Linked DNA regions of Tamandua tetradactyla. The protein of the gene in region 4 interacts with the protein of the main gene of each other region in a pairwise test. Links are inferred from orthologs where the notes say so. Each region holds a gene or a part of one and is shown on either strand. Other genes may lie near its edges. The genes, in order: CSN2, GLYR1, ID3 and FHL2.

Region 1 (7,914 bases), on a different chromosome or scaffold from region 4:
ATAACAGCAAGATAGATGAAAGTTTCCTTAAATAATAAGAAATTAAATGACTTTTTTCTAAATAACCCATGGATCAAAATACAAAATCAAAGGATTTTGGAGGATATAGCTAAAGCAGTGCTAAGGGAATTTTTTAACAGGCAAGGATGACTTTATTCATAGTCACTAAGGGAAGGAAGAAGGGTAGAATTCAACTCTGAGGAAGGCATGGAGGTGCTTGAGTTTTATAGTTGAGTTAAGGGCAGTGAGAAAGTACCAGGGTGCCATCTGGGAAAGAAGAGAGAAGGAGGGCAGGACAGGGTTGATAATTCTGAATAACCAGTACTTGATATTCTCTTTTCTTTTTTTTCTACAGCTGGAGGTTTTGTTTGTTTGTTTTGCATTATTTTGTTGCTAAGGGAATCTTATAGCATCAAATACTTATGCCAGGAGAGAGATAGCTCCCTAATCAGTGACATAAGCATCATCTTAAGAAACCAGAAAAAGAAGAATATATTAAGGCCAAAACACTCAGAAGAAGTTAAGTAATAGAGATAAAACCAGATACCTATGAAACATAAAACCAATTGAGAAAATCAATGACATCAAATGGTACTTCTTTGAAAAGGTCAATAAAATCAATTCTAGACACTGATCAAAGACAAAAAAGAGAAAGATGGCACAAACTGCCAATATCAGAAATGAGAGAAAAGATACCACTACAGACCCTACGTGAATTAAATAGATAAGGGAATGTTAAGAACAATTTCACATCAATTAATTTGACAATATGGATGAAACAGACAAACTCCTTGAAAAACACAAACAACCAAAGCTCACACAGGAAGAAATAGACAACATGAATAGGTCTACATTTATTAAAGAAATTGAACACATCATTTTAAAATTTCCCACAGAAAAGCAAAGGCCTTGATGGCTTTACAGAGAAATCAAATCAGTATTTTAAAAAATAAATAACATCAACTCTACAGAAATTTTCCCAGAAAATATGAGGAGGGAACACTGCCCAACTCACTTTAAGGTGCCACCATTACCTTGATATCAAAATCAGACAAAGGCATTATAAAAGAAGGAAAAAAATTATACCTTATAAATATAAACTTAAAAATTCTTAATAAAATTTTAGCAAACCAAATCCAGCAACACATTAAAAAAATGACTGATCAAAGGAGGTTCATTCCAGGACTGCAATGTTAGCTTAACTTTCAAATCAAGGCAATCCACCATACTGAAAGATTAAAGCAAAAACCATGATCATCTCAAAGGACATAGAAAAAGCATTTGACACTATACTCATTCATGCCAAAATTAAAGATAGAAATGAATTTACTCAAACTAACAAAGAGCACCTTCAAAAAGACCTATGCCTGGCATCATACTGACACTTTCCCCTAAAATCACGAAAAGGGCATAGAAGCCTCTTACCACTTCTATTCAAAATTGTACTGAGGTTCTAACAGTGAATTAAGAAAATTTTTAAAAGTAAAAGCCACAAAGATTATTTTTTAAAATAATGCTTTATCATCTATGTAGAAATAACAAGGACTCTACAAAAAAAAAATCTTATTAGTTAACAAGGTCTAGGAGAAAAGATCTTTATATAGGAGATCATGTAAGTGAAAATAGCTGAGTAGAGAGCTTTAAAGACCCATCACTCCAAAGAAATATAGAGAAATGAAGCAAAACCTATCAGTTCAACTTTATTAGAATTCTTAAAAATAGTCAAAGGTTTAAAGCAACCAAGTAAATCAAGAAAAAGGCAACTTACAAATGGTTGGAAGACTTTGAGCATCTTACTTGCCCTTGCTTTACTCCACTTCCCAGCTGGGCAATGGTCTTGAAAATGACAGTTCATGTTCCCAGCATGGACCCTGGTCCCTGGTTCCAGAAGAAGAAAAGCAGATCTTATTCTCAAAAAAGTGTACTTGTCCTTTTTGACCTGTCTGGGAGCTTCCTGAAGTTCTGATACAAGGTGCTTGCCTTTGTTTCACCTAACAAGGAAATCTTTCAGGGCAGAAAAGTGACAACGCAGAGGACAATTCCCCCCAAAATTGTAAGTCAAATGAAAAATTCACTGCCATCTGGGACAAAAGAGTCCAGTTGAGGCAAAGGATAAGCAGGCCAAAAAGATGGGAGAGAAAATTGGGGCTAGAGAAGAGTTTCATTGGGAAATTAGAGCATAGAAAAGTGACCATACATACTAAGGAATTTACAAAGTCATGAGCATACCTAAGAAAGATGAATGCTCCAAAAAACAAAATACTTAAGACTAAGCTTTCACCTTTGCTGACTTCTAGGTTCAGTTAATTCAAAATGGATCATATATCTACAAGTTAAATAAAAAACTACAAAACTTCCAGAACAGAAAATCTAAGTGACCTGGTGTTTGGTGATGACTTTTAAGGTACACCACAAAAGCCATGTTCCATGAAAGAAAAAACTGATAAGCTGGACTATATTAAAATTTAAAGCTTCTGCTCTTCCAAAGACACTGTTAATAGAATGAAAAGACAAGCACAGGGTGAGAGAAAATCTCTGCAAAACACATATCTGAAAAGCACTTGTATCTAAAATACATAAAAACTCTTAAAACTCAGCAACAATTTTTAAAAACAATTCTAAAAAGGACAAAAGATCTGAGTGGATACCTCACCAAAGATGATACTGTTAAGAGAGAGCTGTCCTGCTGGTGTTGGGGCAAAGAATTAAAACAAGTCAAGGTGGGAAGATGGAGAGGTAGAAGTACTAGGAATCAGTCCCTCCACCAGAACAATGATCAAACAAGCCAGAACTGTTTGAATCAGCTAGAATACTGTACAGTATCCAGGAAAGAATAAGAGGAAGAAGCTGGAAAATTACAGTAAATACCTGTAAACGAGTCTCTCCACACAGTGGTTACCATCACCCATCACCCACTCTAGCAACATGCAACAGTCGGGTCCAGGCCCTTATGTAGCCTGCTGGTACCAGGGAAGGACAAAAATATCCACTGCCCCGAAGGTCTGTGCGAAGGTGGAACATGGGCCAATCACCAATAGCTGCTTTTGATGATCTATTTTGGATCACTAGGGCCCTGGCCCTGAGGGTGACCATTGTTCCAACCTGCCCCAGACAAAGGCCACAGAGGAAACTTAAGACAGTATGCTTCCTCAGAGCTCTAGAGGACAGCTGAAAGGCTGCATTTACTGGGCAGGGGCCCAGTCAATAGAGTGAAGCATAGGGGAGCCTTGTAAGAAGTTCCTGGCACCTTCCCTGGACCCTCTTTTAACCCTCCCCAGGGCAGTCTGTAGCTGGCAAGCTCACCATATGGGTTCCTGGCCTTATTCTGGCTGGGAAAGACTGACTTGGGAAAATCCTCCCTAGTGTCCCTGCCTCACCCCCACCCAGAATTTGGCTGCCAGGCAAAAGCAGCTTGAGACAATAAAAGTTCTGTAGGAAACAATTGAGTCAGAAGGCCTGGGCAAAGGATTACCTGTTTTAAGTCCAGCAGTACAATACACACAAGAGGATAAAGATCTGTTTTCTGGGAGGTACAAGAGCCATTCAAAGTCCTATAAAAAGGGGAAATCCAAAGGCCTCCAGGAAGCACAAGCCCAGGACAAGATACAGGCCCAGAAAAAGACAAGAAGGGCCCTGCACTTTGCATTCACCTTGGGCTGAACTTCGTGATATGTGAGTGCAGCTCTGATGAAGAACCAAACAACTCCAAGTCGGTTTGCAAAGACAGTGAAAAGTGCTTTTTGCTTACGTTTGCTCCATATTGTTACCTCTTGACACTCAAGAAAATCTCCATCATATCACCACCTGGTTACATACTCAAGAAACAGACATTTCAGGGAAAAAATCCCAGACTTAACATTTTAAAATATTAAAATATACAGTGCGCAACAAAACATTACATGACAAACAGAGACAAAGGAAATGACAGCCCATCCAAAAGAAGAGGATAAAAATCCAGAAAATATCAATGAAGAAAACCAGATTGTGGATATACTATAAAAACAGTATTTAAAAAATGATCTTCAATATGCTCAGGAGATGAAGGAAAATATTGAGAAAGAATTAAAGAATATCAGTATGCTGGTATGAAGCTACTGTGTATCCTGGAAAAGTCATGTTTTAATCCTGATTCAATCTTGTGGAGGAAGCCCTTTATTTTAATCTTGATTCAGTACTGTAGGGCTGAAACTTTTGATCAGATTATCTCCACAGAGATGTGGCATGCCCAAAAGGTCTATCAAAAGGTGTGACCTTTTAAGTAGGTGGAGTTGTGACTCTACCCATTCAAAGTGGGTCTGATTTGTTTACTAGAGGTCTTTAAAGGGGGTAATATTTCAAAGGACAGTTACTTCAGGACACAGATGTTTAGAGATGCTTGGAGTACCCATACACCTCCCTAGCTGACAGAGGTGTTCCATATCCATCAGCCTTCCTTGGATTAAGGTATCTTTGTCTGGATGCTTTAGTTTGTACATTTTTAAAGGCTTACAAGTATAAAATTATATGCTTAGAACTGTAAATTTGCAACTTATTAAATTTTCTTTTTAAAAGCCATTCCATTCCTGGCATATTGCATTCTAGCAGCTTAACAAGCTAATACAATCAGAAAAATGATGAACAAATAATATGAGAACCTCAGTAAAAAGAGAGAAGTTTTTAAAAGGAAACAAACAAGATAACTGGAGTTGAGAAGCAGAAAGGAAAAAGAATTATAAAAAGTGACAAAACCTAAGACATCTGTGGGACGCCATCAAGCATACCAATAAATACATCATGAAAGTCCCAGGAGAAGGAAAAAAAAAAAGAAAGAAAGAAGCAGGTGGAATATTCAAACAAATAATGACAGAAAAATTCCCAAACTTAATATGCACATCCAAGAAACCACCCCCCCAAAAAAAAACACAACACAGGATAAACATGAAGAAAAATAGGTCCCATCAAACTGTTAAATGCAAAAGACAAAGAAAAAGTTCTGAAGGCTGCAAGAGAAGAGCAGTGTATGCACAAGGAAACTTCAAGTAGATTAATTGCCAATTTCTCATTAGGAACCATGGAGGCAAAAAGGCACTGGGTCAAAATAATTAAAGTGCTGAAAGAAAATAACTGTCAATCAAGAATCTGATATGTGGCAAGACTTTCAAAAATGAGGGAGAGAGAAACAAAAGCTGAGGTAGTTCATCACCCCTAGACCTGCACTACAAGCAGTGTTAAAGGTTGTTCTTCAGGCTGGGAGGAAAGGACGGTAGACAACAGTTCAAAGCATTTGGGTGAATATAAACGCCAGTAATATTGTATTTTATTTTTTGGTAAGCAACTCCACTTCTTACTTCCCACAGTAGCTAACATACAAAGGCATAAAAAGTAATGGAAAATCTTAGTAAAAAAAAAAATAATTTTTACTACAATGTAAAAAGATATGATTCATAACCAGTACAAAAAAAAGGGAGGGGGACAGAGGGAGGGTGTAGGAATGGCATAGTAGTATACTACTGAAGTCAAGTTGCTATCAAATAAAATATGATTATTATATATTTCCGATGTTAGATTGTAACCCCATGGTAGCCACAAGGAAAATATATCCTTATACAAAAGAGAAGGGACTTAAAATGTTACAATAAAAAATACAATACAAAAAATAAATAAATAAATATTAAAGTAGACATTAACAGAAGAATTGAGGGACAAAAAAACAAATAAACCTTACAACAACTAAATGGCAGAAAAAAATTCTGAATTCTCAGGAGTGATTTTAAATGTAAACAGATTAAACACTCTAGTCAAAAGGCAGAAAATGACAGAAAAGATTTTTTAAAAACGTGACCCAACTATTTGCCATTTACAAGAGACTCACCTTAAGTTCATAGACATAAGTAAGTAGAAAGTGAAATAGTATACAATGGAAAAAGTATACAACGCAAGTAGGAACCAGAAGAGAGTTGAGGTAGTTCTACTAATATTAGATAAAACTGACTTTACATCAAAAACTGAGACACATATGCTAATTCACACTAATAAAGGGGACAATTCATAAGATATAGCAATTGCAAATATATATGCACCTAATAGAAAAGCCCCAAAATATATGAGGAAAATACTGATAGATCTGAAAGGAAGAATGAATATACACTTCCACATTAATAGTAGATCTAAATACACATTTTCACTAATGGTTAGAACATCTAGACAAATGATCAATAAGGAAATACAATACTGGAATGACACCCTAGATGTTATACACATATATAGAACAGTTCACCCAACAACAGTAGAGTACACATAATCCTCAAATGCAGATGAATCATTCTCCAGTGTAGACCACATCTTAGGTCATAAAATAAGTCTCAAAATGTTTCAATATTTCAAAAATATTGAAATCAGACAATGTACCTTCTCAAAGCACAATGGAATGAAACTAGAAATCAATAACAGAAGGTAAAATGGAATATTTAAAAATATGTGGAAATAAAGCAACTTAACCAATGAACTAAATAGAAAATTATAAAGGAAATTACCAAACATCTTCAGACAAATGAAAATTAAAGTACATTATACAAAAACTTAAGGGATGTAGCAAAGGGAGAGCTAAGAGTGAAAATTATACCTCTAAATATTTGTATTTTAAAAGAAGAAATATTTCAAATCAGGATGACCTAATCTCAAAACTGAAAAAAAAAAAATAGAAAAATAAAAGCATACTAAACCTAAAGCAAGCAGAATAAAAGAAATAAAAATTAAGGCAGACATAAAAAGAAACAGAGAACAAAAACCAACAAAGATTATCAACAAAATTAAAAATTGGTTCTTTGAAAAGATCAATAAAATTAACTAACCTTTTGCTAGACTGACAAAAGAAAAAAGAAAGAGGAAGCAAAGAATTAAAATCGGAAATGAAAAGGAGGTGGACTCTCCACCAACCCTGCTGTAACAAAAGGACTATCAGGGAATACTGTGAATAAATTAGATAACCTAGATGAAATAGACAAATTCCTAGAAACACACAAACTATCTACACTGATTAAGAAGAAATAGAGTAATCCAGACAAATTTCCTCATTTGCAGATGAGGGTTTGAGGTCCGGCTTAAGGGATGTTCGCCAAACCACCCAGTGGGTAAGAACTAGATCTGGGATGTGAACCAAGGTTTATTTAAACATCTACCCAGTCCGGGAAAACAAATGTAGCATTATTCTGTATCCTATAGGATAGCCAGAGACAGAACAGGGCAAAACACATTGACTGCTTTATTCCAACTCCTAGCATTTCCAAAATCTGCATGCTGGCTGCTCTCCCTCTGAGAGTTCTTTTAACTGGCAATTCTTGTCTAGAACACTGGAAAGTCAAGTATAGACTTTCAAGAAAGGGTTAGAGGATTATTACCTTAATCAACTTGACAATACTCCTCAAAAGACCTTCCTTCCTTTTCATGAGAATGAAACGGAGGCTAGTAAAAAATTGGAAATGACCCAGGATTCCTGAAATTAGGGATATGGTTCAATAAATGATGGTACATTAAGAACATAGAATACTAGGCAGTTGTTAAAATGATAACTATGAAGACTATAGAAATGAAAAAAATGCTATAAATATAAGAAATAAGAGAAAGAAATAAGTAATTTGAACAACCAATAAACAGAAAAGAGACTGAAACAGTAATCAAAACCTTCCCAACAAAAAAAAGGCCAGATAACATCACAGAATAATTCCAAAAAAAACTAACACCAATCCTGCTCAAACTTTTTCAAATAACTGAAGAGAAAACACTCCTTAATTCCCTCTATGAGGCTAACAACACTTTCATAATAAACCCAGATAAAGATACCACAAGAAAAGAAAATTACAGAATAATATCTCTTATGAATGTAGATGCAAAAATCCTCACCAAAACACTATAAGCAGAATAAAATAGCATGTTAAA
Region 2 (7,074 bases), on a different chromosome or scaffold from region 4:
GAAAGCTAAACAAATCACAGAAAACTCATGTAATATATACTCTTTCCCTCATTGTGGCTTCTTATATGGCCCTGGAGAGTGAGGTAAAAGGATTTCAATCTCAAATTAATGGCCCTAGTTTTCTCAACTCTAGGACATATCTGGTTAAAGAGCTTTACTAGGGCAGGCCACGGTGGCTCAGCAGGCAGAGTTCTTGCCTGCCTTGCTGAAGACCTGGGTTTGATTCCCAGTGCCTGCGCATGCGAAAAAAAAAGCTTTACTGTTACACTGTCAGGGCAAATGACCTAGTTTTACAGAAGAGAACAAGACTTAAAATTAAAATTACTTTTATTAAGATAAAAAACATTTCAGTTTTCACTGTATGTGTGATGCATGAACTACAATGGTATGCAGCCATTAAAAGAGAACCAAACATGGCTCTTATAAAAGGAAGTGCCCGTGGATGTAGACAGACAGATGTGACAAGCTAACTGAATGGACTAGTTTATTTAGAAGGTTCTTACCTGATTGAAATAGTCATCAGCACCAGGATAGGTGCCCACGACAATTTCTATGCAGTAAGAACAGCACCTTTCGTTTAGGTATGAAGCCAGGATGATATGCTACTCTTACAAACTACAGGATAAAACTGAACCAAGATCCTAGAATGTTCTCAGAGCAGCTCAGGCCCAGGGTAACATCCAAACAAAGGCAAAGTGAAACTCGTGATGAACATTACTCACTGATCTTCTGTTCCAAAAAACTTCACAAAGAAGCATTTCTTTCCACGTGGTTTCTTCAAGTCCTTGGGTGGATTAACAATCTGGGCAATAAAAAGAAGAGGTTTGATGGCAATATAGTTCACTACAAAGTAATTTTCCACAGCTCTAAACTGGTAAGAAAAAATAAATAAATGAGGAATATGTATTTAAAAAAGGAACCCTAGGGCCTAATACATATCCAAATCTGGCACTTTTCTATTGAGATGTGTGGAAATGTGCAAATATTCTGCAGGTGTCCTCTACCTAACATATGGCACTGAATTCAGCAGACCCCATATCCCGTTTCACTGCCATGGCTCCATTTTAAAAACAGCTCAAACTAAAATCCACATCTTTTCCTCCCCAAAGTGATCCTGTCTCATCAATGAAGTAATGCTGAGGACACTCTTAAAAATACTTCTTGTGCAGGTGGAGTTCATGAGGCAGGTAACAGTGAAAACAAAGGATAAGAGGCACTGAAAATGCCACATTCCAAAGAGACAGTCCAAAGATATTTACTGGACTGCTAACAAGAAAGTAAAGACAGAACGTTGGAGAGCTATGATGGACTGACTTGTGTGTGCAGAAGCTAGAATGTCAACTTTTGCAAAGATGCATGGGAGCAAGCACACATGGTAAAATGAAAAGAAGACTTAAACTTCGTTAGCACAAAAATACTTTGACTTTTTAACTAACCTACATTTAGATTTCTCTCTTCCTGGATAATTGCTGTTTGTGATTAAATTTAAGTAAAAAGGTAAATTCCAATTAGAATTGGTTTTCAGAGTTAAAACAAAAAAGACCAACACAAATCAGCTATGAATCAAGAAATAAGTGCTGCAGATTAAATGACATGGCTTATATTTTCTTTTCTAAATGAACTGACAGCTCAGAAAAAAAATTGTGAACAAACGTTAAAAATTCAGAATAAATGTTATTTAAATGGGCCGAGTTTTACTCAAATTAATGCTAGAAACCAGGAGGAATGGATTTTACATTCCCCACATACCCAAACACAACTTCAGATATCTTCCTTTAGAAGCAAAAGACACTCACCTTTCCTGGCCAAGGAGGATACCTGCCGAGTTTCCCCCTAGAGAAAACACAAAGAGTCAGGCACTTGCCTTGGGAAAGCCAGTCCATCTCCTTCAGCCCACGCAACCTGCAATTTACTTTTCTAAATCTCGGCCGGCACTCTCAAGAGCCAGAAAAAAGCTGGCAAACTGGAGTTCTTAATTTGACTTCCACAATGGGCCTGAGATGGCCCCAAACCCTCAGAAATAGATACAAAATTATATACATATGTGCACGAAGAGCTAGGTGCATTCCTCTGATGACAAGGAACAGAGAAAAACCATGAGACTTGTCCAGTCTCCTGGACACTCGCGGATGGAGGGCAGTTTCTTCCGTAAACACAGACTTCCCCTTCCAAAATCTGGTTTAATTCACCACGAGACCAAGCCGGCTTTGACAAATGCTAACGAAATTCTTCCGGGGAATCGAGAAACGAGCTACGCAGCTCCAGGGAGGCGGCGACAGTCAGTCTTAGTTCGAGCGGTTGTCTGGGACACAGACGCAGACCACGAAAGATACCCAAGAAGGCATTCACTGTTCACTGCCAAGCCTTCGCTTGTAAAGGAGAAGTACCCCTCCATTTCTTCACCGAGCAGCGCCAGTGGTCCGGTTTCGACATCCCGGGTCGAACCGCCAGCACAAGTCGGATCCATCGCAACGCGGAGGTTTTGATCCGCCTGCCCGGTAAACTGGCCTCACGGGCTCCCCAGCTGTCCTGCTTTTCGGGGAGCCCCACCAAGACCCCAGCCGTGGGAGCCGTGTGGCGGCCGAATGCTCCCTGTACCGTGGCCGCCTAAGTCTGGGACCTGTGCACAGGCCTCCCTCGGGCGGCTTCGGGGCTCAGAGTCGAGCTCACCGCGGCTACCCTCGGCCTCAGTCCCCCGGGGCCGAACTGCCCCTTCCGCCCGGCGTCGCTCCCAGCGCTGGCACTTAGTTTTCCCCTCTCTTCGCCGCCTAAAGCGCAGAGAAGGGCAGCTCCGGGGCTGACTGTGAACCCCGTACCCAGAGAGCAGCACCCCAGCACCTCGCTTGCCCCCGGCCGCCCGGACTCACCATACCAAGTCGCCGAGCCGCAGACTCACAGCCGCCATCTTACCACCCAACCACCACCGCCGCACAGGCCGCCGGGAACATCAGGTCGCCTCGACACCGCCCATTGGAGTGAGGAGGACCACGTGATGAGGGCCGGCTGTCATCGGCCACGCCGCTGCTCTGACGTCACTGCGCCCTCTATCTCTCATTAGCCGGTCGAGCGGCACGTGATTCGGGCGCCGCGGTCTCCGCTAGCCGAAGACCCTAGACTCCCGGCTCCTTCCCCGCCTTCCCCCCCGCCCCACCTCCTCGGCTCGTGACAACGAAGCGCCCGCGGTCTGAGGCAGCGGCGGAAGCGACGACGTGCGGCTGGCCGAGCGCGTGAGGGAGCCGGCCTTGAGGCCCGCCCCGCCTCCCGGGGCCCTGGACTCCAGCCCCCTCCCCCCTTCGGCGCTTCCGTTTCGGCCGTTAGTTCCGCGCGGGCCCCGGGGCCATTCCCGAGCCTGAGGCGCCGGCCGGCCTCGTCGCTGCACCCGGGAGCTCCCCTGACGGACCTCGGCGCGGCCTGGAAACCGGAGCCAAGGGTCCCGCGACCGGTGGGCTCTGCTTGGCCTCAGCCCGGGTCCCCCCTCGTCTCCGCGCCCCGAGCTCCCGGGGGCTCCGAACGCCGCGCTTGTTTGCGGGCGAGGGGGTCCGTCCCGCCGCCGTCCGGGTGCCTTGGCGCGCTCTCGCGGCCGACTTTCGCGCGGCCAGCGGTTCGGGTGCGGGTCCGGCGCAGCAAGTTCTCCCGGGGCGCCCGCTGGCAGCCTGCTCCGCCGCCCCCCGAGTTGCTCCGCGGACCTCGAGGCGGCACTTCTGCGCTTTCTTCTTGGCCGGCTCGCGGCACGGCCGACGCGGCTGTCCCGGGCGCGCGTGGACCCGGTCATGGGCCGCAGCGCCGGCCGGCCGCCCGCCGGGAGCCATGCCTCGGAAGCCGGCCGCTAGCCGCGCCGCCGCTTGGGGCCCCTGGCCGGCATGAGGACAGCCGCGGGGGGACGCGTGCGGCCCGCGGGGCCGTAGCCTGCGCCGGCGCGGGGGACGAAGGTGCGTGTCCGTGTACGGACCGGACGCTCACGTAAGCCTCGTTGTAGTTTGACACTTTGGAAGAAGTTGGGATCAGGCGGTTGTGCCCACAGGGAGTCAGATGCCAAGCGTGGTGTCGACGCATGAAAGTTAAACCGTTAAAGGGAGACTCTCAGTGGCAGTTCGGCACAGCGCCTGCCCAAACTCCAGGGTACCTGGTAGAAACAAATAGAATTTTCGAAAAGCTCCCAGTCCCGGTTTCAGACTCCGAGGAGTGATTTTAGCGCTTGATTTAGAACCGGAGTTTTCCGGAGTTAGCGATTTCCTGGAAAAGGTGCGAGGTCCACGCGCGCATTTCGCGTATGTGTTTTGTCATATCCAGACTTGGTAAGTGGGTTTTTATTTTAGCTTGCTGAGTTGGCCTCAACGCCGGGTTTCTTAGATCAGTTTCTCTGAAGTACCGTGAGCCAGTTTCAGGAAGTGTCATTTATTGTTTTGTTTTAAAGGTAAACTGGTTATTTAAAGCGTATTTAGGATTCCAGGAAACAGTCTGATAAAATTAAACGCATTCGTAATTTACAAAGTCTTATAATTTGAAGAATTGAAGGATATTTAATAACTTGATAAAAGAGATAGATGCCTTTTAAATTACTGTCATGCAGGCTCTAGAAGCATTGCCATTAAGGTTATAATCATGGCTAAGAATATTTGTCTTATGTTAGCCTGGAAGTTTTAGCCAATGCAATAAGGCATGAAACAAAAAATAAGAAATATAATTTTTCAGGAAGGGGAAGACAAACTACTCATTTCCCGGGATGATAGAATTGCATATTTTGAAGAAATGAATAGTCGAGGAAAACCAGTAAAATTAGAGTTAAGAAAAACTAACTGCAAAATCGACAAAGTTCAGTTTTCTGGTTAATGGGTTCTGTTTACAATGACAACAACGAAAAGCTCCTGGGAATAATCTGAGATACAAAAGGAGGCGTGAGGAAATAGATGAAAGTGCCATTCTTGTTTAATTTCAGTTGAGGTTTTTTAAGAGGGATGATTTTGCAGATAGAATTTTACTCATTTTGTATTATTTATAAATAACAGGACTTTTTAAATAAAAATACTTGATCTTTGACAAAAGTTCAAGTAAGAAACCAGTTTAACATATCAAATTTCCCTAAATAACTCTTTTTACAAAGTTCAATTTTCTTTAGCATATTACTCTGTAATTAAAATTTTAGATGCTTGATTCTTGTAGATACTTCAGACGTCTAAAAAAGTAAACTTAGAAACCTAACATAAATGTTTCTGAGGACTTAAGCAATTGTCATTAAGTCTAATAAACTTATAAATGGAAATCTGGTTCTTTTTGAAAGAAAGTACAGGGCAGGCAATGGTGGTATAGTGGCAGAATTTTTGCCTGGCATGCTGGAGGAGACCTGATTCCCGGTGCCTGCCCACTCAAAAAAAAAAGTGCAAACACTTTCACACTTAATTATATTTTCTTAAGCATCTCAAATTAAAATTGTAAATCTCACAACACTCATTAATGTCCAGTTCTCTTGAATGTTTCAGATGGCCTAATAAAAAACAATAATACAGTATGATGATTACAAAACTTCACCCAAAATCTAACCCATGAGTCTTAATCTGCTATATCTTTGATTTGCTTTATCCTCTAATTCTGTTTCTATACCATTGGCTTCTCAGGCTTCAACGAAGAAGTGGTTGAAGTTTAGGTGGGTTGAAGTTACGATGTGTAAAACAGACCAAGATAAGGCTACATTTTAAAATCTCTTACTGGACAGGGACACTAGCATTTGCCTGGTTGCCACTCCCGGAATGACCTTCTTGCATCCCATTGATTAACTTGATTCTCTTCTTAGAGTATTTGTCTGCTCTATTAGAAGGGACCTTTAAACTTTTCCTTTCAACTGAGATGTAATTTGACAACCTTGTGAATCAGTATGTCCCAGGTTTTGTGTCATAATGGAAAATAAGTATTGGATATATACAAATGCATATACATATATGGATTTATAAGAGATATATATGAGAAATAGCATCTTCTTGACAACTCTCACTTATGATTCAGTTACAATAAAAACTGACAGCCCCTTTGGGAGAACTCAACAAAATGTTTCTAAAGTTCTGAAATAATAAGTAGGCTGGAGTGGTAGTGGTATTTTTAAAGAGTGATAAGAGCTTTCAGTTCAAGATTTTAAAATATTCCGTATAACTTCAAAACAGTATGGTATTAGTTAAAAAAAATCTTAACTACTACATTCATACAGCAGGATGGATTTCAGTAATAGACCATAAGAAACATGGGATTTTACTAGATGATGTATGCCAAATTGGCAGGGATAAGAGGGATTATTTAGTGATTGATACTGGGAAGAATCAAGTTAGGACCTCACGCCATAGCTTATAGCATAATATATTCCACTTGGGTTAAATAGTTAAATGTGAAAAGTATATAAAAGACTGTGTAGATAAATTCTTATGTGAGATCTGGTTGGAGAAGTACATTTTAAGCATGGAAGAAACAGGAGAAGTCACAAGGGAAAAAAAATTTTGAGGGCATAGAAAGTTTTCAGCTTGCCTCATTCTAAGTAAAATTTAAATAGGGAATAAGCCAGGAAGAGTACTTGTGAGAGATTAAATGATTTATAATAATGATTTATGTGATGAGGCAAAGGGATATTTATCTGTAATATATCAAGGAGCCTCACAAATCAATTTAAAATCTACAATTTATTCAACTGTTCCTTTATCACTGGACATGTGGGTTGTTTCCACCATTTTCCCCTATGTAAACAAGGTTACAATGAATAACTTTATTGAAATAAAAGTTCACATTAGGGTGTAAGTTTGTAAAAATAGGATACAATTATTCCTGTAGCACAAAAAAGTACATAATGTATGTTTGCATATTTATGTTCTCTAAACCCTTGGAATTCTTAGATTCCAAATCTATGTTGGACGTTCCCACACAATTGTGTAGTTCTTTGGCATGTGATCATTTGTCACTTTGTTAAGGCCCACGTTTGAATGGGGAGAGGGCTGGTGGTCAAGTGCCAGTGACTTTGTTAGAAAAATAAGTTTAGCCATACATACATCACTGAGATGCTGATTTTTTGCTTATTCCAGGCTAGGTAATAACTTCCAT
Region 3 (7,097 bases), on a different chromosome or scaffold from region 4:
CATCAGTCTATTCATCTCTCAAATGGGTGTATCAACTACCACAGATGTCTGGGCACCAGATAAGATAAACCCCAGGTTCCCCTTTCGACCTCCCCTGCTAGAATAGGCACATTGAATAATCTACCACACTAACAGCCACTTGCTGTTAGATCTAGCCAGCAGATCTAAGAACTGGAACTCAGGAGACCTCAGTTCTAGCCTGGGTCTCCAACTTACTGGGTGAGTTTGTGCCCATCACTTCCCCCTCTGGTCTTTCTGTCAAGTGTAAAATGAAGGGGTAGGGCCAAAGATCTTCTCTGCACCCAGCCATCAGTGGACATGGGGCTACCATCACAAGCCCCCTCTCATACTGCCAAACCCAGCCTCAGCCTCAGGCCAGGCATTTTCCCAGCTCCCTCTTCAAAAAATAAATGACTTTGCCTTTAAGCCCCAAGGACATTTCTTCTTTCCTGAATTCAACCAATGTGAGAAGGTATGGGGGATGCAGGTACCCAGTCAGATTATATACACAGGTGCTTAAAAACCGTTTATTATGCAAAATGTTAACTTTTATAAAAAGTTTAATATACATCGCATGGTTACAGAAAGTCACCTTCCTGTAAAAAAGGTACAAAAAGCTATATACTCTATTATAGAGTTCATAATCAGGGCAACAGAGCCTTTCTCCAAGGAGACCTGAAGACCAGCCCTACCTGCCTTGGCAGAGTCTGGAGAGCAGCCACTTCTCCCCATACCTCCACACTCTGAAAAGACAGTCTTTAAACTTGGAAATGGGGTGGGGGCTGCGTGACGTGGCCCAGCTGGTACCCAGAGCTAGCTCTGGCTCTTCAGGCCACCCAAGTTCACAGTCCTTCGTTCCCGGGCGCCAGGTCCAGCCTCGAGGCGTTTGGGGGAGTCGCGTGGGCAAGGGCGAGGTTGGGGTCCATCCATGCCCTTGAGCTTCCGGCCGGAGGGTCCCGGGGTCCCAGGCAGAGCGGGCGCCAGCACCTGCGTTCTGGGCGGGGGAGGGATGGAGACGAGGGAGCCGTCAGTTTCCGCCCAGCGCGCCGAGGCTGGGGCCGTCCGTAGACTGGCCGGCGCCAGGGAGGAAACTTGGTCTCTACCTCCAGCTGATAACTCCGCGCCCCGCGCGGCCCCCACCCAGTTGGCGCCAAAGGACCACAGGCGGAGCTTGCGCCACCCCACCCCTTTGGAACTGACACCAGTTAGGAGGGGGAGGAGGAAGACTGTTCCAAAGTCTCTTTACAACTCCAAACAGAAAGGCTATTTAGTCGGATCCGCGCCTATTTTTCCTGGTCTTTGGCCAGAGGAGAGCAGGGATGCTGTCGTTTTAATGCCGGAATACACCATTAATGGAAACTGGTTCTGCCATTCATTTGAAGCGACTGCCACGGGCAAGTCCCTTGCCCCTTTTTAGGCTCACTTTCCCTAAACTGAGGGGGCGGCAATCGCCAGCCGAGTCCCGGATTTGTCGTCTAAGCTGCTCTCCTCCAGCGGATACCCCAGAGGAAGGGATACTCACCTGGAGTTGCCAGGACGGCAGGGTCAGTGGCAGAAACTCCTTTTGTCGTTGGAGATGACGAGTTCCGGGGCGAGTTCGGCTGTCTGAGAAAAGAGGGAAAGAGAATTAAGCATGACACGTAGATGCTCTGGGGGGTCCCACAGCATCCCGACCTCGCGCGCTCAGCCCCGCCTCAGCGCCGCGCACGCCCGAGCGCACCTGGATCGGGAGATGCGGGCCGTCTGGGGGCCCGGGAGCCGGCTCGGCCAGGACCACCTGCAGGTCCAGGATGTAGTCGATGACGCGCTGCAGGATTTCCACCTGGCTAAGCTGAGTGCCTCGCGGGACTCCGGGTACCAGTTCCCGCAGGCGCGAGTAGCAGTGGTTCATGTCGTCTAGCAGGCTCAGCGGCTCCTCTGCGGCCGGGCCCTTGCCGCGGCCGCGCGCGATGGCCAGGCTGCGCTCCGACAGGCAGCACACCGCCTCGTAGCAGCCGCGCACCGGGCTCAGCGCCTTCATGCTGGAGACTGAGGGGAGAGGTGTCGAAGAGACGAAGACCGCAGGACACCTAGAGTAGCTTGCGACGCGCTCACGCGGGCGGCCGCCTGGTCTTATAGAGCCGCCTTGGACGGCACGCCCCTTTATGCAAAAATAGCCGCCCTGGCTCCGCCTCCGCTCACCCTGGGCGTTCACAAGCCGGTTAAATTGCAAACAGGCTTCCTCCCGCTGGTCTGACGCCGAATACCGCCGAGCCGCGGATTCAAAGAATGAGGAAACGCTGATAGTGGGGAGAGGCGGGCCTCTTCGCCAGGAAGGATTTAAAAACTCACTTAAAACCATTAACTTTAAGAATTTGCCTTTTTCCTGGCAGCGCCCCAGATCTCTGGGCTCCCCTGCCAGTTCACCCTCAGCCCCAACACTGGTTCGAACCCACGGCTCGTCCGAGGTCATAAATCCCTGAGCAGAAAAGAAGCTTTTTTTTTTTTTTTCTTAAAAGCAAAAGATTTTTTCAAGGGAAACTTGTAAGGAATTAGTGCCGCCTTGTTCCCCAATTTGCTGTTCGTCTGACCTCCAGACTCACTGGCGTCAGGAATTATCTTGTGACCAGAGGGGGGGAAAAATTAATTGCGGTGAAGCTGAGGTTACAATGAAGAAAACAGATTTGGGCTAGGCGCTGAGATTGCAGAAGGAGGAGGGGAAGGGGTTTTGAGCAAAGAACACTACTTTTTTTTTTTGAGCAACAGGGGAAAGGGGGGAGAAAGAATAGTTGTCTGAATCCATGCTTTTTTGTATGGAGAAGGAAAAGCCCTCCAACCTTCAGAGCCCATGCATTCCATAAGGACCCAAATATATGACCCAGTCATGTTTTGGAACAGGGTTAGATTAGAAGTTTGGACAGGGTTTTTAATGTGGGGGAACAAAAGAGAGGAGATTTCTCCATCAATCTTTTGAGCACCCCTTCCCCCCATTCCATCAGTGAATCTTGCTTCACCTGTTTCCCCCCCACTCTCCACACACCTCTATAAGAAAACAAAAGCTTGGTAATTTCGTTGCTCTATTGTCTGTCCCTTTCCACTGTGGATGGGCAGGCCACCTGGACTTGATTATTCTTAGCCCTTCTGAAATAGCTCCAGCTGTATCTGAGAGCCCAGGAAAGGGACCAGAGGGCAGCAAGCTAAGCTCTGTGTTGCAACAGGAGTTGTGTTCAGTCTTCTGTGCCTGTATTCCTGTCACCTCCTAGGACTTTGGGGAATTTGCAGCCCCAGAGAGCTGGTTTCCATCTTGGAACTGACAAAGTGGAGTCTCCCAATAGCTGCTTCTTAGTCAATCAGTTGGTAAATATTTATGGAATTGCTTTGAAGGCATCTCCTGCTCCTGCTCTTAGGAATCTCACAATCTGGGGAGACAAGATTAGCACAGGAAACATTAAGAGTTCAATTGCGTGTGGCAACTAATTAACTGGACAGTGGGAGCAAGAAGAGTCTCAAAATAGTTATAGTGGAAAGAACACCGAACTGGGGGTCAGGAGCCAAGGGGTCAACATCCCAACTCTGCCAATAATTTGTTGAATGATATTGAACAAACCCAGGTACCATGACCTTAGTTAAAGCCTTGTGAGTCAAGAGTGGAGATGGTGCTCATTATTATTTAAAATCCTTTCCAACTAAGTCCAACAGAAGTCTAAGGCTTTATAAAGTTTGGACAGGCAAGTGAGGGGTGGTAAACAGCCCAGAGAGAGGGATATAAAACATGTTTAATGTTATACCACAAGTAATGGCAGAGCCAGTCCTGGAGCCCCATTCTTTTCCATCATACAGGGCTCTGTGTCCTAAGAAAGAGGTCTTCGAAAGAGTTCTTCCTGGAATATTAATATTTTCAAGGATAACGTTTTTAGTATAAGAAACCGGAAAATTTACCCATGAGTCAATGAATGGGTCTGTATATGCTAAAGAAGTCAAGTGAAGAGCGTGCCGGCTATTTGGTCATGGGAAGGGAAAATGGTGGCCGTGGAGGTTCCTAAGTGACCAAATAGAGGATCCTTTCCTTTTCTCCCATGCACACTTCCGTGGTTTGTACAGAATGACCAAGGCCATGAGGTTCTGGAAAGATCATGGCTTTCAGGCCAGACAGATTTATGTTCAAACCCCCCATTCTTCCCTTTTACTAACTGCGTGACCTTTGGGTAAGTCACCACCTCTATTTGCCTCCAGTTTCTGATCAATAAAATGGAACTAATTAGACCTCCCTCATTCATTCAACAAATAATTATCGACTGCCTCTTGTCTGTTAAGTGTCTGATATGCTTTCTCAACCTCACAGTCTTTCGGTGCCTGGGGTCAGGTGTGTGGTAGGTGCTGGGTGCTTGGTCACATTTATCATTTCACAGAATGGTTCCAGCCTGAAATGTCCTAGGGCTGTGTGACCTAAGACAGGAGAGTTTCTCAGGATCAGCAAACAGAATTCTGTCCTTGCAGGGTGGCCTTGGGGCAAATTTCCTTCCTTTCCTGGGCCTAATTTTCTTCAGAGAGGGGGTGGGGAGCGGGGTGGTGGTAGCAAGATAGCGTCCTTTGCAATCTTAAGATTCGAAATCTGTGAAAGAAATCGGTTAAGGTTGGGAACGCTCAATAGAGTTTAAATCCAAGAGACTTCTTTTTTCTCAACAGCAGACGGGACTGGTCGGGCCAGCTCAGGCCCTTCTGCAACTTTTTTAGCGGTGGCGGGGGCCTCAGCCTCTTATTCCAAATGCCTCTGAACTTTCTGTTCCCACTTCTGCTCCTTTTACCAGCTTTTTCCCCCCTCTTGCATTTTTTATTTTTATGAAAGGATGTCATTAAGGCTTTTGTCTGCGCTGTTTTTGTTTCAGAACTTTTCTCACAATCCTATTTTTTGTTGAGGAATCCGCTCCTTTGCCCAGCTGTGGGTCCCGGTCCCACAGCTGTGTTGATCTAAGACTCAGCCCCAGACAGCCTGGCGCCAGGGTGGGACGTCATGCGTTCACACAGGGATGCGTGTCCCAGGCAACCTTTCCTCGGGCAGTCACCGGCCGGCGACTGCCGCCCCCACCAATGAGCGCCCGACACCCGAGAAAGGGGCGGGGTTTGAGCCGCCGCACCCCGCGAGCGCCTTGTGAATTGCAGATGTTGAGAACTTGATAAGTTCCTCGCTTTGGGGCCCTTTAAATCACCCCCCCCCTTTTTAGTTATTTCTTTCTTTTCTGTCTTTAGTGTATTCCTCTCTTCTTTCTTTCCACCTTCGTTCTTTATCTATATATATATACAGTTTTTCTTCTGCCTTTTTAAACTATCTCCTCCCAGTGTCAGGAATCATTTTGTAAGCATTTCCAGGAACTGAATCTTCCTCTGCCAAAATTTAAAAAAAGAAAGAAAGGGGAGAAAAAATTCAAAGCTATGCTCTCGGATTTTTGAAGAGTTGGCAGAACTATTAAGTTATACTGTTTTGTCTTTAAAATTTTAAAAAGTGGTGGGGGTCACTGAGCTGTTGATTTCAAAGCCAAAGTAATGATGATGAGGATTGCAGATGTCTTTTTGCTTAAACTGAGCTGCTATCTCCGCATCTATCGATTTTTCTCCCATTTATAGCGTACAAGTGGGGGTCAAGGGGACCACGGAAACTTACCCAAAGTTTCCTGGCATATCAGTAACAAACCTGTGGTCCACACCCAGACCCCACCCCTATCCCATCCCCTGATCCCCTTTCCACTCTGCTCCCTAACTCTCATTAGTATTGGGGTGACCAGCTGTGTTATCGGAAAATCCCCAGTTGCTGCATCTCCTAATATATACTTGTTTGCTCACATGGTGCCTGTAATAGTGTGTTGAGGATCTCCCAGCATATAGACCACATTTCTTCTCTCCTCACCAGGACTGGACCCCAAATGACTGCTTAAGACTCAGGTGGTACAAGGAAAGCAGAGAGGATCAGAATCAGGCTGAGGCTCGAAAATCCTTGGGTGGGTTACTTGTCTGCCTCAGTTGTTTTACCAGTTACAGATGGTAAAATGCAGAAGAAATTAAAATCCACCTACCTCATCACTGGGAGGACCCAGGGGGACAAGAGATGGAAAGTGCTGTGGGAACCAGTTAATTCTTTTTTATCTGCTACAATATGATGTAGGGTGGGCCACAGTGGCTCAGCAGGCAGAGTTCTTGCCTGCCACACCAGAGACCCGGGTTCGATTCCTGGTGCCTGCCCATGCCAAAATATATATATATTTGGCATGGGCAGGTATATTTATGATGTGTATATATATATATATATATATATACATCATATATATATGATGTAGCCCTTGAGGAGGAGGATACTTGGTTCCAGTTGGGGCTGTTCCCAGTGATGTGGGGGGATTTCTAGAGCCTCCATCCAAGATGGACTACTCTACAGCTCAGAAGTACTCAGTGCCATCATCATCATTTTCATTGAGTCCTGTTTGCCTTCACACATGTTGTCTCATTGACCCATTTTATGGACCAAGTGACTGAGGCTCAGAAAGGTTAATATATTGGTCAAGGTATGATCTTGTATGACAGTAAGTGGCAGACCCAACATTGGCATCCAAGTTTCCACTGTCTCCAAAACTTGCCCCCTTTGTGCCCTATGCATTTCCTTCTGACCCTACAAAGGGCCTCCTGAAAAGTTAGCTTGGTGCTGAGAGGATTAAATTCTACAAGGGCGAGAACAGCAAGGGGAAATCCACCAGGTAGGAGAGATACTAATGTATCGAGACCTTAAGGGAAAAAAATTGTTTTCTAAACAGAGAGACTCAGAGAACTTTGGAAATTTCTTGGCAATTTGAAGCCCCCCCAACCCCAATAATTTTCCAGTCCATGCTTTAGGGAACATTTATTTTTGAATAAAGTAAAGAATGACTACTCCTGTTTTTAGGAATCAGCTTTGGAGTTGCACTCTGTCCCTCTCTCTCTCTTACAATCCAGAGGTAGCCTACTTAGGTCTAGGTACACCACCCCTAGACTAAAATAACCCTTTACTTCTGCAGGTGGGCAGTGAACATGGGATATTCAGGGGCAGCCTTGGCATCTAGGATGGAGAGGTGAGTACCCACAGGGAAGCAGGAAGG
Region 4 (7,572 bases):
GTCCAGTTACATTAAAACACATTTGGTCTACCTTGAACTTTAAATTGTGCATTATTTAAATTGTGCATTATTTTGTAATATTTAGAAACTACTCATTGTGTAGATTTATGAAATGTGAACACATTTAATTACACAACGTCAAAAAATCACAACTCAACAACGAAAAAGACAAACAACCCAATTAAAAAATGAGTAAAAGACTGAATAGACATTTCTCCAAAGTAGATAAACAAATGGCCCAAAAACACAGGAAAAGAGGCTCCACATCATTAGTTATTAGATAAATGCAAATCAAAACCACTATGAGACGCCGTTTGTCACCCACTAGAATGGCTGCTATTAAAAAAAGAAAAAAAGAACAAGTATCGGAGAGGATGTGGAGAAACAGGAAGACTTGCTCATTGTTTGTGGGACTATAAAGTGGTGCAGTCACTATGGAAAACAGTCTGCTGGTTCCTCAGAAAGTTAGGTGTAGAATTACCATATGTCCTAGCAATCCCGTTCCTACATATATACCCCAAATAATTAAAGTAGGGACTTGAACAGGCATTTGCACACCAAAGTTCACAGTGGCACTATTCACAATTACCAAAAGATGGAAGCAACCTTAGTATCCATCAACAGATGAATGGATGAACAAAATGTGGTCTATACATATAATGGAATATTATTTGGCCATGAAAAGGAACAAAGGTCTGATACATGTGACAACACAGATGGACCTTGAAGTCACCATGTTGGGTCAAATAAGCCAGCCACAAAAAGACACATATTATTTGATCTCACTGATATGAATTAATCAGAATAAACAAATTCATAGAGTTAGAAAGTAGAATACAGTTTGCAGGGACTGTGGTGGGGGTAGATAAAGGGGAATTCCTGCTTAACTGGTACAGAATTTCTGTTTGAGGTGATGGAAAAGTTTTGGCAATGGATAACGGTGGCAGCTGTGCAGCATTGTGAATGTATTAGCACCACAGAATTATATATTTAAATGTGCAAATAAGTTACCAGAACAACGCTTTAAAAAAAAACATAGAACTGTACACAGTGAACCCTAATGTAAATTATGGACTATTTTTACTAGAACATTTATAATAATATCCTTTCATCAATTGTGAAAAAGGTGCCACAGTAATGCAAGGGGTTATAGGGTATATGGGAACTCTGTGTTTTCTGCATGATTTTTCTGTAAACCTGCAACTTCTCTTATTAAAAAAAAATCACAATCTTTACTATCTCCACCCATCTTCTCAGAAAAACCTAGAAGTATTGGGAAGATCACTGTGACTGATCTAAGTTTTCCAAAATGCTAATTTTCATCTCAAAGCTCAAATTTTATCTTTGGCAACATATACTTTCAGTTGTTTTCCTTAAATTGACAGGCTGACTCTGTTCATTTTTGAGAAAATATCTGCAACCAAAATCTGAATAATCATAGCTTGTCAATTGTTCTTTCCGGTAAAAACAGAAAAAGCATCTAGTTCAATTCATGCTCACACATGGACTTGTACTCAAGATGACCTTGGTGCTTTGATATGCGCAGAAGTGCTTCATGCATCTTCTCTTTGGTCACTCAAAATATTTAAAAGATGCATGTTCAAGGGTCCAGATTTAATAAAATTAGTAAGTTTTACCACTTCATTAAGGTCAGTTTCTTAAATGAAACTGGATTTTTGTTTTTCTTGCTAGTGCTTGGGGTGGGGAATGTTATGGCTTCTAATCGAGTTTGCTGCCACTGCTTTCATTCTAGCTAAGGCACAAGCAGTTTTTCCCACCACTGCTTTTATGTCTATAATAAATGTGAATACAGTGAAATAGTCCAGTAAGAGCTTACTATCCTTAATAAAATAGATCTGACCTCACACAACCCTAGAATGAGATTCAGGGATTCCTAGGGACCCAAGGACCACAATTGGAGAACCACTGGATTAAACCACATGTACGCTGGAGGAGGTTATATTTTGTTGTAATAGAAGTATGGTGGATTGAATTACGAACCCCAACGTAGACATGTTCTTAATCCTCATCCATATTTCCATGGGTGTGAGCCCATTGTAGATAGGAACTCTTGAAGGTGCTCTTTTCAGTTAAGGGTCTGGCCCGACTGAATGAGGTGGGGTCTTCTTTCTTAGATCTGGCTTTAGAAAGAGAAGCACTAGAAGTTGAGAGTTGGCGAAAGCTACTGGAAGAAAATCTGAGGAGCAGGAAGCCAGAAGTCAGTGGAAACCAGAGGAGCCCACCCAAGGGAGCTCAGCCCACTGTGGGAGGCAGAGAAGCAAGCCGAGGAGCCCCAAATATTACAGCAAGCTGACTCTAGGCCACGACAGGTTTTGGTGAGAGAGCATTGCCCTGCCTATGCCTTGATTTGGGACTTCCAGCCTCAAAACTGTGAGTCAATAAATTCCTGTTGTTAAGCCATCCCATTGTGTGCTATTTGTCATAGCAGCCCAGCAAGCAGTGCGGGTGGGATATTTAATTCTGAGGGTAAGTGGGAAAGAGCGATACTCATGGTTTGTGTAGCTAGTGCCCCAAGCCTACTCTCATTGATGACTCAGGGTCTCTTAAGTGGCTGTGGAAGCCTGCTGGAGGCTCAGCAGGAGATGTTCCTGGATGAGTGAGCAGAATCCTTGGCCTCCAGGGCTGACAGATGTGGTTGACATGGCAGTGGCCACCAGACCAAAGTCCAGGACTGCAGGGAGACCTCCTCCCAAGAGACACCGCTTACCTCCTTCTTGTTGCAAATGAGCCACAGAGACCAATGGGGTTAAATGACAACCACCCCAACAAACCAAAAGAGCAATTTAATCCCATGAGTAGGTCGCAGCTTCAGCTGTCAAGAGAATAAGTCTATAAAACCAGGTACCACTATCTAAACACTCTAGTCAAATAAAGCGAACAACTTCAGTTCTGCACTTGACATTTGTATGGAAATAATTACAGATGAGGTTGGTACAGACAGATTGTGCTCTGTTCCTCCTTTAAGGCCTTATGTCTAGAAAGTATCTTTTTGTATAGTAATTTGGTATAGATGAATATGGGTATTTCATTTCTTTTGTTTAATATACACCAGTCTATAAAGTATGCTTTCCTGTGTTCAGAAAGGCAGACACACAGATCCGTAGAAGACCACACAGCTTGGCCTCACCCAGCAACAGAAGGTGGGTGAGAGGTGAGTGTCCATTGGGGTGAGTTAGAGGCCCCAAGAGGAGAGGTGACTGGAGAACTCAGTTGCCTGTTCCTGAGACATGAGGCACTGGACACCCCTAGTAAGACTAATGAGGTGGAAATTATTCACAATGGTCTAAATAGCAACAAGAGGAAGAATCTGACACATGAGCAGGTGAGGGGGGTGGCTGAGGAGGAAGTTGAAGGGTGAGGGTGAGGAGAAAAGGGGGCGCAGCCCAGCTCCCAGGGCTCCAAGCACTCATGGTGGCCCACATCCCCATGGTCTACATGGGTCAGCTCCCAGGGGGAAGGAGAGTCACGCTTAGACTCCATCCCATCTGGGCCTCTCTTGAGAAACAAAATCTCAAGAGGGAATAAGATGAAAAATTCCTTACCCCATGTCCACAACTTGCCAGTGGCCTCAAAGCATGGCCAGCTCCCCGAGGGGCACCTGGGACAGGGTCCTTGCAAATGTGATTTGTCTAGTGACTCAGGGCTTTGCTCATTTGGGGCCCTGGGCCAAGAGGGCTCGAGGAGGCCAGAGGTCGGAATGCTGGGTCTCCTGCTGTTGGCTGTTGGGTGACGTTCCAACCACCGTACAGAGAGCCCGAGGTGAAGAAAGTAAACTCTATTCTTGGGGGTAGTGGGACATCTCCCTCCCCTCCTAATTGCCCCATTCTCAGTTCTGCAGCAACCCCGTCTTGTGTCGTGGAATCTCCCCAGCTCGAGGCAGAGCATGGGGCAGAGATCACAAAGCCTATCCCCGCCGGAGAAAAAGAAGAAAATAGTTTCTTCCATTTACTAGGAAAGCTGTTTCTGTCTTCTCACCATGCTAGTTCTATATTTATACGAGCATTCAATCGTGCCTTCTTGTTCCGTTGTTTTTTTGTCCCATCAGCACTTTGCCTCCTGCGGCTTTCTGTAGTTGTGAGTAGCAGCAAGTCAGGGGGACAGCCTTGGGGATGCATCAGGGGAGCCGCACCCCCCGCACCCCACCCCACACCTGCCAGCCCCCCCACCCAATGCCTTGCCCAGCAGAGCTCTGGGTCGGGATGCTGATCCGAAGGGAAAAGCAATAGTAAGAAACAGCTGTTTGAGGGCTTAAAGCCTTGCTGATTTGTGCATAGTCGTGACTTTAGGTTTTTAAGAGGTTGGTTCCACGAGTGAGGACGACTAGCAGCCCGAACCCCGCGAGCTGGGACCAACACAGCGTCCCCAGGTGCAGGCACCTGCCCACCGGGGCCCCAGGTGAGGGCGGCCCAGACCACCCCGGCAACGGGCACGTCCCGGCTCAGGCAGATGGGAAGCTACTTTGGAACCAAAATTGTGGTGGCCAGACGGGTACATGTTCCTTTTTGATCTACATTTTCCCTATGGTTTAATTTACTTTTTCATTACGGCATTATAGGGCTCGATGAGAGTCATCTGCAAAGCAAAACACTAGCAGCTTAGAAATAGCAGGACCACCGCTTTCGTGTGTCAGGCCTGCTGTCACGGGTCCCGCGGGCTGGCTGGCTTCCACAATGGGAGCTGATGGTCTCTCGCTTTTCAAAGGCTGGGTGCCAGCAGACCATGCTTTTTCTGAAGCCTATGGTGTCCTGCAGGGGCCACCATCACACGGCCATCGTCTCCTTCGGGCTCCTTATGTGGCTTTACTTCTGTGCCCGAATTTCCTTTGCTTATAGGGACTCGAGTCATGGAGGAATAAGGTCCATCCCCTTTCACTTCAGCCTCGTCTTAATAGGAACTTTGGAGATTCCGTTCACAAAAGGTTTCACATACACAGGACCAGGGGTTAGGACTCATGTCTTTGCGGGGAACATGATTCAATCTAAAACAAATACGAAAATAAATTTTCCTGCTCATTTTTTGGCCTGACACATATGACTTCTCTTTGAAAGCAAAATGCCATAGATGAAAGAAATCTCTATGGAATTAAATCCTAACTGCCACCAAATTACAACTTTAGGTTGATTTTTGGATCTTCTTTATTATTATTATTATTATTTTTACTCATTGACTGAGAAAGGCTTGATCTGGGTTATGCTGAGGGCTGCTTTGGTAAAGATACCTAAATGATCACAGAATGACTCTTTTTCATTCTAACTTTTTTTATCCAACAGACACTGTGTCCCTCGGATAAAGATGAAGCCAGAGTATAGCTCAACGGTCCGTGTCAACACCAGTTTTCTCTCCTGCTTCTTGCCTTTCAGTGCCGCCCAGATGCCGAGGGGAAACCACAAGGTCCATTTGTAGGATGATTAAGGCTCAGAACCGGTTGAGGGTGTTTTACGGGGTCTGACTTACACGGGGCATCAAGCCGCACATCCCGGCTCAGCTCCTCCCTTCCCCTCTCTGCGCTTTGCCGCAGAGGAATGAAGAATCTTCCGCATTTTGCCACAGAAGAGAGGCAGTCGGCGATACCTGGACAGCATGAAATTCCACGGAGCAAAAATGTCTCCGACGCAGGCAAAGTGCAGCTTTGGAAAAGGCTGGAAGCTGTGGCTCAACTTTCATGGTTGCTTGGGAGAAATTTGATTTCAAAAGCGTGTTTCATAAACCTGAACATGCCCTTTCCAAGTATAATTGTCTGCATTTTAGAGAAGAGACAGAAGTGCAAAGAAATGACTTGCTCGGGACCTCAGTGGACAGAGTTTTACTCCTAACAGCATGTTTAGCCGTTAGAGAGACAGTGCTGGCTGTTTTCACACGACATTGTCAGACAAGGGCCCCCCCATTTCCGTGGTAGGAGAGTGTTTATCTTTATGTCTTACCTTTTTGATTATGAGGTATTTGCTTTCTCTTCTGCATTCTAAAGGCCACACCATTTTATCATCACAGGCTGTCTTTCAGTAGAGGATGCCTTGTTTGACCATTTGAATTTATCAAAGCGCTCTGGGGTCTCGGAAAAATAGGTTCTCTTCTCGTGTAAGGAAGAGGGAAGCTTTCTGAAAAGAAACGTGCTTTCTTTTCTAGTCACTTCCTATCATCATTCTGTAACCGAGAAATCGGGGTTTAAGGGATGGTTTTGATTACTGAATCATTCTATAGATATTCCTTTTTACTTTTTGGTATATAGGAGTAGATAGTGGGAAATCCTTGAAATCTCTAAATTGTAATCCAGCTGCCTTGATCTCTGATAATGACTGCATAGCCCTTATCTTCTGCCCCTGTGATTGTAAAAACCTTGTGACTAGCCTTCATTTGTACCCAGTTATCCAGTTTTTCAACTTTAGAGTCTTGTAACTGCTAAAGACAGCTCCTAATATTTATTAATAAAGGGTCTTGGGTCAGCCCGGAACTAACCCACCCCAAGTCCAAAGTTATCTTGATAACGGAGACTGGATCTAATCAAAGTGGGCCCATCTGACATGCGCAGTAGCTTAGACTTTAACCTACAACTCACCTAGACTTCATTTTACCATTTACTGACACATGTTCAGTAACTAAGCATGTAGTCAAACCGCGCACGCTCAGATATCAGATCCCCTCTAATTACATCATCAGGGGTCTCTGAGCTCATCACCCTAAACTCGGTTCATCTTTTCTCTAGCAAAACGATCAAAATTACTGCATTTTGGGGAGACAGATTTGGGGCCTCTAAGCCATCTGCTCACCTACTACGTGCCTCGTAATAAACTCTTTCTCTCTTTGAAACCCTGGGGTCTCAGGAAGTGGTTATTGAGCTCATCGGACAAAAGAATCCATGGCCTTTGTCCCGTCACTATCCTGGGCTCCACCAGAGAAAAATCAATGTTCATTTTGGCTGTATAAAATTAATTCCATCTAAGTTACCTTCATCAAAAGACAAAGTTCCATAATTTGAGTCAAAAGTAACCCAAACCAGAATGAAAAACACATGGCGGAGAATGGAAACAGCATGACTATTAGCGAAACGCCCTTTGCAGTTTGCTTTCCCTCTCCTTCCAGGCTTCTGCTCCACACCAGGGACCCCCTCCCTCCTTTCCCCCGCTAGTCCTGTAGTCCTTTGAGCTGGGGGCGGGGGGGTTGCTGGTTCCCCACCGCTCTTCCCGCGACCACCTTCTGTCAAGTGGCGGGAAGAGGCTGCAAGGCCCCTGGATGCGACAGAGACCCAGAAACCATGGAGAAGTGGCCAGGCCCTCGGGCTGCAATAGTTTCCCCTGGTTTGGGGGACCAGAGGATAGATGAGTTAGGACAATGCAGACAAACGCTCTGCAACTTCCAAACCTAGGCACAGACAGTGTCCTGAGGCCGGGAGTGAGCAAATGTGCAGAAAAGAGCCCAGTAATTAGTAAAGCTGTGTTTAAGCTTCTGACCCTTTCACTCTTTTTTTTTTTTTCTTTTTCTTTCCCCATGAAGTCTAAGTTAGACCTGATGGAGCGGGAAGCTGGGGCCTAAAGCAAGCCAAACCATCAGCTGAGC

What was found.
Region 1: the proteins of FHL2 (region 4) and CSN2 interact in binary tests that used the Homo sapiens proteins (3 or more experiments, as listed by UniProt). The two-hybrid records come from large-scale screens. The link is inferred for Tamandua tetradactyla from reciprocal best matches to the Homo sapiens genes FHL2 and CSN2.
Region 2: the proteins of FHL2 (region 4) and GLYR1 interact in binary tests that used the Homo sapiens proteins (3 or more experiments, as listed by UniProt). The two-hybrid records come from large-scale screens. The link is inferred for Tamandua tetradactyla from reciprocal best matches to the Homo sapiens genes FHL2 and GLYR1.
Region 3: the proteins of FHL2 (region 4) and ID3 interact in binary tests that used the Homo sapiens proteins (3 or more experiments, as listed by UniProt). The link is inferred for Tamandua tetradactyla from reciprocal best matches to the Homo sapiens genes FHL2 and ID3.

What each region holds. Positions count from the first base shown.
Region 1 is NC_135345.1:71,316,514-71,324,427, forward strand, and holds the start of CSN2 (beta-casein), read right to left. Parts: upstream 3,002-7,914; 5' UTR 2,869-3,001; intron 1,879-2,868; 5' UTR 1,769-1,878; intron 1-1,768. UniProt on the Homo sapiens protein: Important role in determination of the surface properties of the casein micelles.
Region 2 is NC_135349.1:52,237,060-52,244,133, reverse strand, and holds the start of GLYR1 (cytokine-like nuclear factor N-PAC), read right to left. Parts: upstream 3,001-7,074; 5' UTR 2,906-3,000; coding exon 2,868-2,905; intron 1,834-2,867; coding exon 1,797-1,833; intron 803-1,796; coding exon 723-802; intron 1-722. UniProt on the Homo sapiens protein: Cytokine-like nuclear factor with chromatin gene reader activity involved in chromatin modification and regulation of gene expression. Acts as a nucleosome-destabilizing factor that is recruited to genes during transcriptional activation.
Region 3 is NC_135328.1:202,660,312-202,667,408, reverse strand, and holds ID3 (DNA-binding protein inhibitor ID-3), read right to left. Parts: upstream 2,247-7,097; 5' UTR 2,021-2,246; coding exon 1,721-2,020; intron 1,606-1,720; coding exon 1,546-1,605; 3' UTR 1,523-1,545; intron 995-1,522; 3' UTR 514-994; downstream 1-513. UniProt on the Homo sapiens protein: Transcriptional regulator (lacking a basic DNA binding domain) which negatively regulates the basic helix-loop-helix (bHLH) transcription factors by forming heterodimers and inhibiting their DNA binding and transcriptional activity.
Region 4 is NC_135343.1:70,098,428-70,105,999, forward strand, and holds the start of FHL2 (four and a half LIM domains protein 2), read right to left. Parts: upstream 3,008-7,572; 5' UTR 2,043-3,007; coding exon 2,002-2,042; intron 1-2,001. UniProt on the Homo sapiens protein: May function as a molecular transmitter linking various signaling pathways to transcriptional regulation. Negatively regulates the transcriptional repressor E4F1 and may function in cell growth.